2 linked regions of the Ovis aries genome follow. The protein of the gene in region 2 interacts with the protein of the main gene of each other region in a pairwise test. Links are inferred from orthologs where the notes say so. Each region holds a gene or a part of one and is shown on either strand. Other genes may lie near its edges.

Region 1 (5,234 bases), on a different chromosome or scaffold from region 2:
GTCCTGGTCCCCATTGTTACAGGAGGATGTAGAATCCCAGGCTGGCCCAGCATCCCAAGGACATCTTTGGATTCCCTGAGTCCAATCCTGCTGAGGACCATGTGTTGCTGCCTTGGGAGTTTGAGGGGCTGTAAGGGTACCCGCGTGGAGGAGCCACATGGTTGCCATGCCATATTTGTCCTTTAGCTAGATGGCCCATCCTTCCTTTCTCTACCAGAGTTCAAGCTCCGTGAGGTCAGAAGCCCGTACACAGTAGATAGTCACTCTCTGGCCAGGCACTGGGCTAAGTATACAGTGAACAGACAGTGAACAGGACAGACCCTCCCACCCTCAAAGAGCTTTGAGACTGTTGGGCATAGAGCTGAGGGCTGGGGCCCTGGCAGAGCTCTTTTTTTCTGGGGAGCAAGGGGTATCTGACACTATTCTTTCCACTTTGATTTTTTACTTCACTTTCTTTTACCCCTGTGCACACACAGCCTTATGAAAGTAATTTAACCTCAGGAATATAGTTGAAGTACCAGAGCTTATGGCTCAGACGGTAAAGAATCTGCCTGCAGTGTGGGAAACCTGGGTTCGATCCCTGGGTTGGGAAGACCCCCTGGAGGAGGGCATGGCAACCCACTCCAGTATTCTTGCCTGGAGAATCCCCATGGACAGAGAGGCCCAGCGGCCCACAGTCCGTGGGGTCACAGAGTGGGACACAACTAAGTGACTAAGCACAGCACGCTAGATCTTAAGATGATGGAAATGCATAGTGTGTGTTGGGGGAGGGGAGTGAAGGCCTTGGGCCGGCTCCTCCCATGGCTCTTGGATATTGGCGAGTGTGCGGAGAACAGTCAGGATGCTAACCCTAACCCCTCAGGCCTGGGACTGAAGTTCAGGGACGTTTCCTGAACTCTGTGCATCCTTTCAACCTCCCTGGTCCTCCCCTATAGGATGCAGGGTCAGAGGAGCCTCATTTCTTCCTCTCCTTCTTCAGGGATATTTGCATTTAAGTGCTCCAGGGCTGAGGAAATCTTCAACCTCCTCCAGGATCTGATGCAGTGCAACAGCATCAATGTGATGGAAGAGCCAGTCATCATCACCCGCAACAGCCACCCGGCTGAGCTTGACCTCCCTCGGGCCCCCCAGCCTCCCAATGGTGAGGAAACCCCTCTCCTCAGCACCCCAACGCACACACAAGCACAGGTCCAGGGAGCACTGGTCTTGGAGGCATGAGTCAGGCAGGCAGGTGGAGGATGGCTGGGTGAGCCAGGCTTCCAGGACCATCATCCATCATCAGACAACTCCCAGGGATAGATAAGTCCTGGCCTAGACTAATCAGGTGACTCAAGCTGAGGCTGGGGAGTCCAGAGCCTTGTATTGACGGATGGTCGGGGAGCAGACAGGAAGACATTGGGTTTCCATGGAAACGGCAGTCTGGAGCCGCTTTGCTTCCTTTCTTCTATCTACTGGGTCATACCCATATACCTTTCCTGACAGCTGGTGCACCATCTCTGCCCACAGCTGTCTGGAGAGGTTCCCACGGTTTCTGCTTGTTCATTCACTAAATCACATCGAACGCCTGCTTTGTGTCCTGCCCTCCATCAGCTGGCCCATGAGGGACAGAAGAAATAGACACACGGTCCTTGATTTTGAGGAGCTTCCCTGGAGCTCACTGGCAGAGCTGGAATGAAGTGTAGGGTCAGTTCAGTGACAGCAAGGTGTGCCTTAAGTGTTTCAGATAAGGCTCTGATGGGGGGAGTGGAGTTCAAGCTGAGCGTTCAGAAGAATGGCAGAGGTTGAAGATCAGACACAAGGTGAAGACAATGGGGACTGCCAGTTCGGTGGGTGGGCCCTCGAGGACCCTGGGAGTGTCTCCCTGGGAGAGTCCCAGGCTGCCACATGCACGGTTGCAGGCAGCTGCCACCTGGTTTAAGGACCCCTTGTCTCCTGTGTGCCCAGCTCTAGGCTATACCATCTCCAGCTTCTCCAATGGCTTCCCTGGCTGCCCAGGGGAGGGTCCCCGATTCTCAGCACCCCGGCGCCCCTCAACAAGCAGCCTCCGCCACCCCTCGCTTGGTGAAGAGTCCACCCATGCCCTCATTGCCCCAGATGAGCAGGTGAGCAACTGGCTGCCCAGGGTCTTCCTGTTGGTCTGGTGGGGGTAGGGGGTTGGGAAAATACAGCACCTCCTGCCAGTGAGGCTCATGAGAGGGAAGAAAATGGACAGGGCCCCTTCCTGTCCCAAGAAAGGGAGGCCGCTTCCCTGGAAGGTTTGGAGGGCAAGGAAGAGGAGGAGACTGCAGCCCTCTCCCATGTGCTTCTCCTCTCATCCTGTCCCCTGTTCTCTGCTTCCTTCTTGCCCTTGGACCCTCCCGCCCAGTCCCACACCTACGTCAACACGCCAGCCAGCGAGGAGGAGCAGCGCCGAAGCCGGCACTGCCTGCAGCCCTTGCCTGAGGGCCGGGCGCCCTTTGCACAGCAGGCCCGGGGCCCCGACCAGCGGGACCCACAGGTGTTCCTGCAGCCGGGCCAGGTGAAGTTCGTGTTGGGCCCCACCCCAGCTCGGCGGCACATGACCAAGTGCCAAGGCCTGTGCCCGAGCCTGCAGGACGCCCCCCACCACAACAATAACAACGAGGGCCTTTCAGAGTGCCCGGCCCAGCCCAAGTGCACCTACGAGAACGTCAGCGGCGGGTTGCGGCCGGGGGCGGGCTGGAAACTGAGCCCGGAGGAGCCGGGCTGGAACGGCCTGGCCCAGCGCCGGGCTGCACTACTGCACTATGAAAACCTGCCCTCCCTGCCCCCGGTGTGGGAGAGCCAGGCCCCACAGCCAGGGGAGGAGGCCGGGGATGACGGTGACTCAAGGGACGGGCTCACACCCTCCTCCAACGGCTTCCCGGAAGGCGAGGAGGACGAGACCCCGCTGCAGAAGCCCACCAGCACCCGGCCTGCCCTCCGCAGTCACGGCAGCTTCCCCGTGCCGCTGACCCGGCGCCGAGGCTCCCCAAGGGTCTTCAACTTTGATTTCCGCCGCCCGGGCCCGGAGCCCCCGAGGCAGCTCAACTACATCCAGGTGGAGCTGAAGGGCTGGGGTGGAGACCACTCCAAGGGGCCCCCGAACCCCTCCGCCCCCCGAGGCCCTGTGCCCACCACGCACCCTACCCGCAGCTCAGACTCCTACGCCGTGATCGACCTCAAAAAGACCGTGGCCATGTCCAACCTGCAGAGGGCGCTGCCCCGCGACGACGGGACCGCCCGGAAAACCCGGCACAACAGCACCGACCTGCCTCTGTAGGGGCGCCCCTCCTCCGCCCGGCCCATCCTCCGCCTCCCGCTCCATGCCCTGAACCCCCACGCCGGGGCTCGGGGCTGCTTCGCAGAAGGGCACTGAGGTGGACCAGATGCTTACCGCACTGGCCAGAGTCCCCAAAGATATCAGCCGCAGAGTCCCCCGGTGTCCGAGTTGGGGACAGGAGGGAGGAGGACCAGGCGAGGAGGGAGCCGCGGTGTAAACTGTGAAGGGCCCCCCGACGGCAATTAGCACCCTCCCGTTCTGTCATCTGTCGCGTCTGTCGTCTGTGTTTTTTTGGTTGAAATTTGGAAACATTTTGTACCTGTTGATTTTATTTATCAGTTTATTTTTCTATTTATTGTTTTAAATGTAATTTAACATATTTATTATTAATATAATTATTTTTAAATTCTGACGTGGATGATGTCACATTTTTAAAGAGTTTTTTTCTGGCATGCCTGGGGTGGGAGTCCAGGAGGCCTCACAGAGGTAGGGTCTTCACTCTAGGGTGATTGTGGTATTTGTGACAAGTAACAACCATTTCTTTTTCTCCTCTAAGAAGCCCTGGCCAGGAACTGAAAGTTGCCAGGGACGGCTGCTCTGTCAAAGTAAAGTGACAAGGCACCTGGAGTCCTTGATGCCCAAAGGGGATCTGTAAGAAAAACTCCCCGGACCCTCTGAGGCTGTAGTCAGTGGGAGTGGAATTGAGGGGTGGGGTGCTGTACCATATTCACCTTCTCTGGACTCTCTCACTGAGTCCCCCTTCCGCCCCCAGGTGGATCCGATTGGGTACTGCCCTCCTTTCCCACCTTGGCCCCAAGGGGGACCCTGGATCTTCCTTCAGCGCCATCCACATGGCAGGGTCAAGACTAGAACCTTTAAACAGCACTTTACTAAAAACCCAGGAAAAGCAAAAAAAAACAAAGAGGGAAAAACAGAGTAATACAGAACTAAATAGACTTACAAAGTGTGACTTTCCCGGAGAAGTCCTCCCTCGGAATGAGCTCTTTGGGGCATTTCTGACCGACTGCAGGGATGGGGCCCTCACAGAGCCACCACATCGCAACTCCTGCCTGGGCCCCTCTGCCCAGGGCTGTACGCTCCCCCTGCCTGAGGCCGTGGTTGCAGAAGCTCCCTTTCCGTATAGGGAGGCTGCCTCTTTCCTCTTCCTCCTCCCACCAGCCTCCCTGCCTCAAAATTCCCCTTTCTGTCTCAAACCCCTGAATGGTTAATCTCCAGAAAATCCAATGTCTCTAATGAGGCACTTAGGGCCCTGTGGAAGAGAGGGAGCAGGGTTTGTCCAAGCCTTAGGGACAAGCCTTCTTGTCTCATCACTGTTTGTGCCCCAGCTCCCTGTCCAGTGGAGTGAGCAGACCTGTCCTCCACACCAAGGAAACAGGCCAGGGCGGGGCCCACCCATCTCCTTCCCCTCCTGCTATTCAACCACTGTCCAGGGCCTCAATTCCAGAAGTGCCCTCTTCCCTGAGCGGGAATTAAACCAACCAGCTATCAGAACCCCCTGACCTTGGGTGTCCCTCTCTGTGCAGGAAATGGGCAAAGAGAACTGGCCACAGAAGATGTAAGAGACCCTTCACCTGGGGCCCAGTAGGATCCCAGAGTGTGGCTGGCTCCGAACACTTCTCTCCTTTACACCCTTTTGATCTCTGGACCAGAGGGCTCACCTATGGCAGGCTGGGTTTCATGCATTTTTCCCACACTGCAGTAGGGCAGCACCGTCCTCTCTCTGCTGCTTACCCAGGCAGGCAGCTCAATTCTGCTTTCTCTGTGTCCTCCCACATGACCCCTGCTCCTCCTTTTGGCCTCCACAGTCAGGAGCAGTGGACCCTTCAAACAGGATCACCAAGATTGGGGGGCAGGTATGGCTGTGCCAGGACCAGGCCTAGGGCCCCTGGCTGTGCTAGTGACTCATGAGTGTGCTCAGGCTCCTCCTTACTCG
Region 2 (5,660 bases):
TTAACGAGATACTTGTCATTTCCACTTGATTTTGCTTCTCAGTACAGGCCATATAATTCTTTTTAATGTATCCCTCTTTGAAGGGAATGAAGCTTATTTGAAGCTTCTTTTAAGGTCACATTAAATCTGGTAGCCAGGGTTCTAATATTTAAAACATACAGAATTACAGTTCAAGGTAAAACAAATAGTAGGTAAAATCTACATTAAACATATAGCAGTTCCAAATGCAGTCTTTAAGAGATTTCATTTACAAAACAGATTTCTTAATATTCTGTAAGAAAACTTGAACAGTTAAGTTTGTTTCCATACTGTTTGCCTCACACGACTTCAGTTGTAAGGTAGTATAGCCAAAATGTGTTATTTACCTTTCCAAAGGTGGCCGCGCAGGCTGGCTCTAATTTCTCTTTCCTGCAGAAATCTAAGTAGTGTGCATAAAGGATGCACCGTGGTAAGCAAACTCCTTCACATACAATGTAATTCTCTTCAAGCCTAAGAAAAAGGGCAAAGAATTAGTTCAAACCTTTTCTTTATTTCTTCTTTCCTTCCCCCTCTCACATTGTTTTACTGCTCCCTTTGAACACAGACTCTATATAAAAGTGTTCATGTTCTTTTATTCTGGATAATATTGAAAATATGATCACAAGGATTAAAGTTAGAAGAGCAAGAACCTCAATGAACACCTGTTAGTGCAGTTAAAACACCCACGGCTAAGACAAAATCACTTCTGCCTGGTCCACCTGCCTGAATAAGCCTTACTTCTGAGTAAATCTTCACTGTTCATCATGCTTTGCTCTGTGATATCCAAATATGAATGGTGAAATTGAAGGTGATGGATTTTTAAAATAACATTGTCGAGAGGCTTCCTACAATCTCTTACTTTCACTCCCAAACTGGCTCTGAACATTGAATAGTTACGGAAGTATGGTGACACATTTATTTGCAAAATACATAAGAATACATTAACTGTAAGTTTGAAATAGTACCAGTTTACCTCTATCTCTACCCTTTTTTGCTGTAATTAGTACTTATCATTACCTAAAAGATCCTGTACTCACGAAACATAATGTTATTCTCTATGGATGCCGCCAAACGTGACACTAAATTCGGTTCTATATTATAAACATAATCATATAATCTTTGAAAATTTAGAAATAATTCCACTTAATTTGGATACCAGCAATTGCAATTGCACACAATTTATATAAAGGTAATAACATATATTTAAGTGTTACAAATACCTGAACAGCCATCAAGAAATCAGAACTTGTGGATTCTAGTCTCAATTCTTCCACCCTTTCAGTAGACGATAATGGCTAAAATTTACTTACTTTCTTTTTATGTACAGTAAGATCATAATTAGTACTATACAAGAGCAACACAATATAGAATATACATTTAGGTTAAAATTGAGTGAAACTCTTCAAGATCTCTGATTTAACATGTTCCCAAGGTGCGTGAGATAAAAGCTACAGGATGTTTCCTGGGATTTGGTTCTTTTTTTCCTTTGTCTTAGAAAGATGGAAATCCCAGTAAAATTTACATACACAAAACCAAACACCTAGTTGACAGTGAAAATTGAAGCTACTCAGGCACTTTAATTTTTAATTCTAATTTTTAACATCCCCACTCTAATCTGTAGTCGTAAGGGAAAATTATCAAAAGGTAAATAACTCATGTAGGTTTTTTTAAAACTATATATCTCTGGGAGGGGGTGAGAGTGTGGAAAGTTCAAACAAAAATGATGACATTTTATAGTCTCAAAACATATGAAAATTACTGAGAAATATTCAACTGTTTTAACTATATTTAAATGACACATATAATGTCCACTTTTTCATCTGGCTGTATTGATATTGTTGGCATTGTTTTTGTCTTCAAAATACTGACTAATCCTAGACATAAATACAATCTTAATTTTGGATATGACTTTTTTCTTTAATTGTAATGTATTTATATTTATAAAATAAAAACCCATTTGTTTCCATTCATTCAAATTGAATGGAAGTGATCATTCAAAAAGCCTTCATAATATATCTGAAGTCAAAACCTTTTTGCTCCAATTATCCTAAAGAAAATAGCTGTTTCCTAAATATTTAAGATAATTAGCTCAATTATTTACTGCCCTAGTATATTCTCAACTAATAAATGAAATATCAATTTCAATAGATTAGCCATAATTTTAGAAGGATATTAAACTTATATTTCAAATGTTTGGAAGAATTAAGGACACAATCACAAACAGTATATGCAAATTGTAATTCAATGTTTAAATGAAATAAAATGTACTAGTTTTTATTAAGATACTGCTTTTTCTATTGTATTTTTTTAAGATTTAGATCACATTTTACATATAAACAGATTGTGTAACTTATTAGCAAATAGACATTTTTACTTATTTGCATCCTATTTGGAATTTGGGAGGAAATTTCTTTACCCTACATAGGGAAGTTTAATATTATGTTTTTACTTTAGATTCCTCTTCCTTTTGAAACAATATTATAAAAGTTTCTGTAGGACTTTTACTTAGAGAGCCTACTGATAAACTCTTGGTTTTAGAAGATTTTCCATAAAATCTAATTAGTGATATTTCACTGTAATAAATCATATATAAAAGCTACTTTTAAAATAGTTGAATATTTATTTAAGTTAATAGCACCATTTTAACTGATTGATCTATGTCTTCTAGTTCAAACATATTTCATCTTATGGCTGAATTGATACACAACTGATACACAATTTTGAATTTGCACTCTATGGTAAAAGGTAGGGTTAAGATCCTTCCTCTTTTTAACTTATTTTTTAAGAATCATGTTTTATAAACATAAAAGCTTATGAGTTGATTGCATGTTGAACAAGTCATTAAAATTCATTATTGCTTACATTCAAAGGAATTACAATAATGAAACTACAACAAAGAAATTACAAAATTACAAAGAAGTTAGCCAATAATGAACAAAGTGATGGTTTTTATTTGCATTGCAGATCATTTTTCACCTTTACCAGAATATGTCTCTATACAAAACATTCAGTGAAAACAATTTTTGGATGAATTTCTAATTGGTCTTTTAAACTCCTGCAAGAACGTTTGAGAGAACCAAATGGAAAAAAGCAAAGAATCTGAATATACTGACTTTCAAAATTCAAGGGTACCCTTGAGCGAGCCTTACCACTGCAGGGTGAGCTGGGTCTGCTTCTTTTTATCCTTCATAATCTGCGTGATGGTTTTCTTCTGTGAGAGGTGTGGATCGGTTGCTTTAGTTTTGCTGTCTGGATTATCCGCATCCTCTTCTTCGGAGGAAAAGTTACCATTGCTTAAATGCATTTCTAATTGCCAGTTGAAAAGATAAAGAAAACCAGAATATAAAATCAATTAATTAGCTCTAAATGTATCTTGGCGTCAAACGGGGTGGTCTATGGGGGGTTCGGAGGAGAGTTATACAAAATCCCTTAGACTTAATTTCTATTCGACCAGCATTTTCCTAGGGGAAACACATGTACGTTTGCGATGTGTTTATCATTGGAGGCCCTTTTAAAACTACATCCGAGTCCCAGTCACGTCCCGGGAGGGCAGAGCACTCACCGGCTTTAACTCCCCCGGGCAGCTCCGAGTCGTCCGCTTTCTCCCCGCTGCCCAGCTCGCGCCCCGGCTGCGCTTCGCCCGTCAGGTACACCCTTTCTTCGGGGTAAACGAGCAAACCCTTGCCCAGGAGCTGCACACAACACTCCTGGACTTCGGGGGAAACCGGGGGAGAAGCCTGCGCCTGCAGGAAGGCGTCTTCCAGCTCCGGGACCTTGGCCATCCTCCTGGCCGCCGAGACTTGGGCGCCAGCCGCTCGACCGGCGCCCAGCGGAGCCGGGAGGCCGGGGCGGGGCGGGGCGGGGCGGGGCTGCGGACCCCGGGCCGCTGGGGCGGAGGCGGAGGCCGCGGCTCGGGATCCCCCGGGCGTCGCGGAGAAGGAAGGCCCGGCCCAGGGGCAGCTCTGACAGCCCAGGGAACCGGGTGGGCCGAGGCGGGACTGCCCGTCTCCACCTGCCTGCCATCCTGACAGATGCTCCGCTCAGAACTCACTTCTCACCTGCGCGAGTCAAGCCTGAGCAATGAAGTCCCTTTCCCCACATCTCTTCCCTCTGTTTCCTCTTCTCCCATCTTGAGCTGGGACCGAGGACACTTTTCCACACCCAAAGCTCTCCAAGGAACCAAGAAAGCGACACTGTCATCTCGGGGTGGGGTGGGGGGCCGAGGGAGGGGAGAAGCAACTCTCCCCACCTCTACTCTCGGGTGACATCAAGGATGCTTCAGGGGACTGCCCTGATTCTGCACGCCCAGGCCGGAGGAGGGGGACCTCAGAGCACCGCTCAGTCTTTGCAGAACATGGTCTGGGCTGATTTATTCCCAGAGTAATCCTGGGCGGTGGGGGGTGGGGAGTGGTAAGGGGTCTTCTCAGTGACCCGGACAGACGCCATCTCGGCCCACTAGTGGGAAGACTGCCTTGCTCCCCAGCGCAGAATGCCTGCCTCTCTGCCCTCTGGGGATCTGGCTCTGAGCTTAGAGGAAAAGATGCATCCACTCTCTACGTATTTTGTAATTTAAACGCATCCCTGGCGATTCCTCACCCCTCATACCTGGTAGTAGTGCAATGGACCATTGCGGAAATGAAAAAATGAAGTTGCCACATTTCATTTCCAATCTAAAATGCCGAGATAGTCGTGTATGGGGGAAAATATCTTGTTCTTTCTTTAAGGAGAAATCAGTAGACTTGGGCTCTGTGTTGCCCCATTGACACCGAATCTTTCCTTCCTTCCACCTTCTGTTCTTTTGACAGATATTGCCCTGTGCTCACTATCTATATGTTTGGTGCTCTCCAGAGAGAGCAAATATCTTGCTTTCATTCACACTTCTTCACCACAATCTGCAGCCTGCCATCCTCATTTGGAGCTTAGTAAGATAGATCACTCCTGAAATTTAACAATATTAAACTATATTATATCCAAATATAACATGGAAAAAGCAAAATGGGACCCAAGGTGGTGGATGGCTGAAGGGTGGATTATAGGTGGGAGTAAAACAATCTAAGAGCATTACTTTGCCAAAGTGGCTAACATTATGAGTACATTTGACCCTTACCCATTTTTCAGCGTAACTTATGGAAAAGTCACCACTTCTCTGTCAGAGATTTTCTCCTGGTACCTCCAGAGCCTGGATCTAGGTTGGGGCAGTCCAGCTATCCAGGCAACCAAAGCTCTAAGTCTATACCACCATCACTCCCTACAACCTTGAGTATCAGTCTCCTCCACCCAGTACCCTGTCTCTGTAAAGCCTCAGAGTTTTCTCAGTCCATGGGGCTCAGTCCTACAATGATAAAGTTTAGAATGTCCCTTCTTTACAGAAACACCCTCAGACTCACTCTATAAAGGAAGTCCTCGTGGTTAACTGTACACAGAAAGACTCTGTCCACTTGTATCACATAATCAGAAGAAAAACATTCAAAAAAATTACTAGGATTTAAAAATAGCTTTTTAAAAATATCACTTGATGGACAGGTTGTATGTGTGTGTGTATGTCATACGGACACTAAGTGAATATCTGGCAATTATCCAGTTGAATTGATCAGCGAAAACACAAACTGTTTAAGGCCCCAAGTGAATTTCTTGCTTTATTT

The links.
Region 1: the proteins of RFX6 (region 2) and FRS3 interact in binary tests that used the Homo sapiens proteins (3 or more experiments, as listed by UniProt). The two-hybrid records come from large-scale screens. The link is inferred for Ovis aries from reciprocal best matches to the Homo sapiens genes RFX6 and FRS3.

Annotation. Positions count from the first base shown.
Region 1 is NC_056073.1:15,616,299-15,621,532, reverse strand, and holds the end of FRS3 (fibroblast growth factor receptor substrate 3), read left to right. Parts: intron 1-979; coding exon 980-1,141; intron 1,142-1,944; coding exon 1,945-2,102; intron 2,103-2,365; coding exon 2,366-3,280; 3' UTR 3,281-3,692; downstream 3,693-5,234. UniProt on the Homo sapiens protein: Adapter protein that links FGF and NGF receptors to downstream signaling pathways. Involved in the activation of MAP kinases. Down-regulates ERK2 signaling by interfering with the phosphorylation and nuclear translocation of ERK2.
Region 2 is NC_056061.1:21,007,627-21,013,286, forward strand, and holds the start of RFX6 (DNA-binding protein RFX6), read right to left. Parts: upstream 3,858-5,660; 5' UTR 3,801-3,857; coding exon 3,581-3,800; intron 3,325-3,580; coding exon 3,168-3,324; intron 490-3,167; coding exon 366-489; intron 1-365. UniProt on the Homo sapiens protein: Transcription factor required to direct islet cell differentiation during endocrine pancreas development. Specifically required for the differentiation of 4 of the 5 islet cell types and for the production of insulin.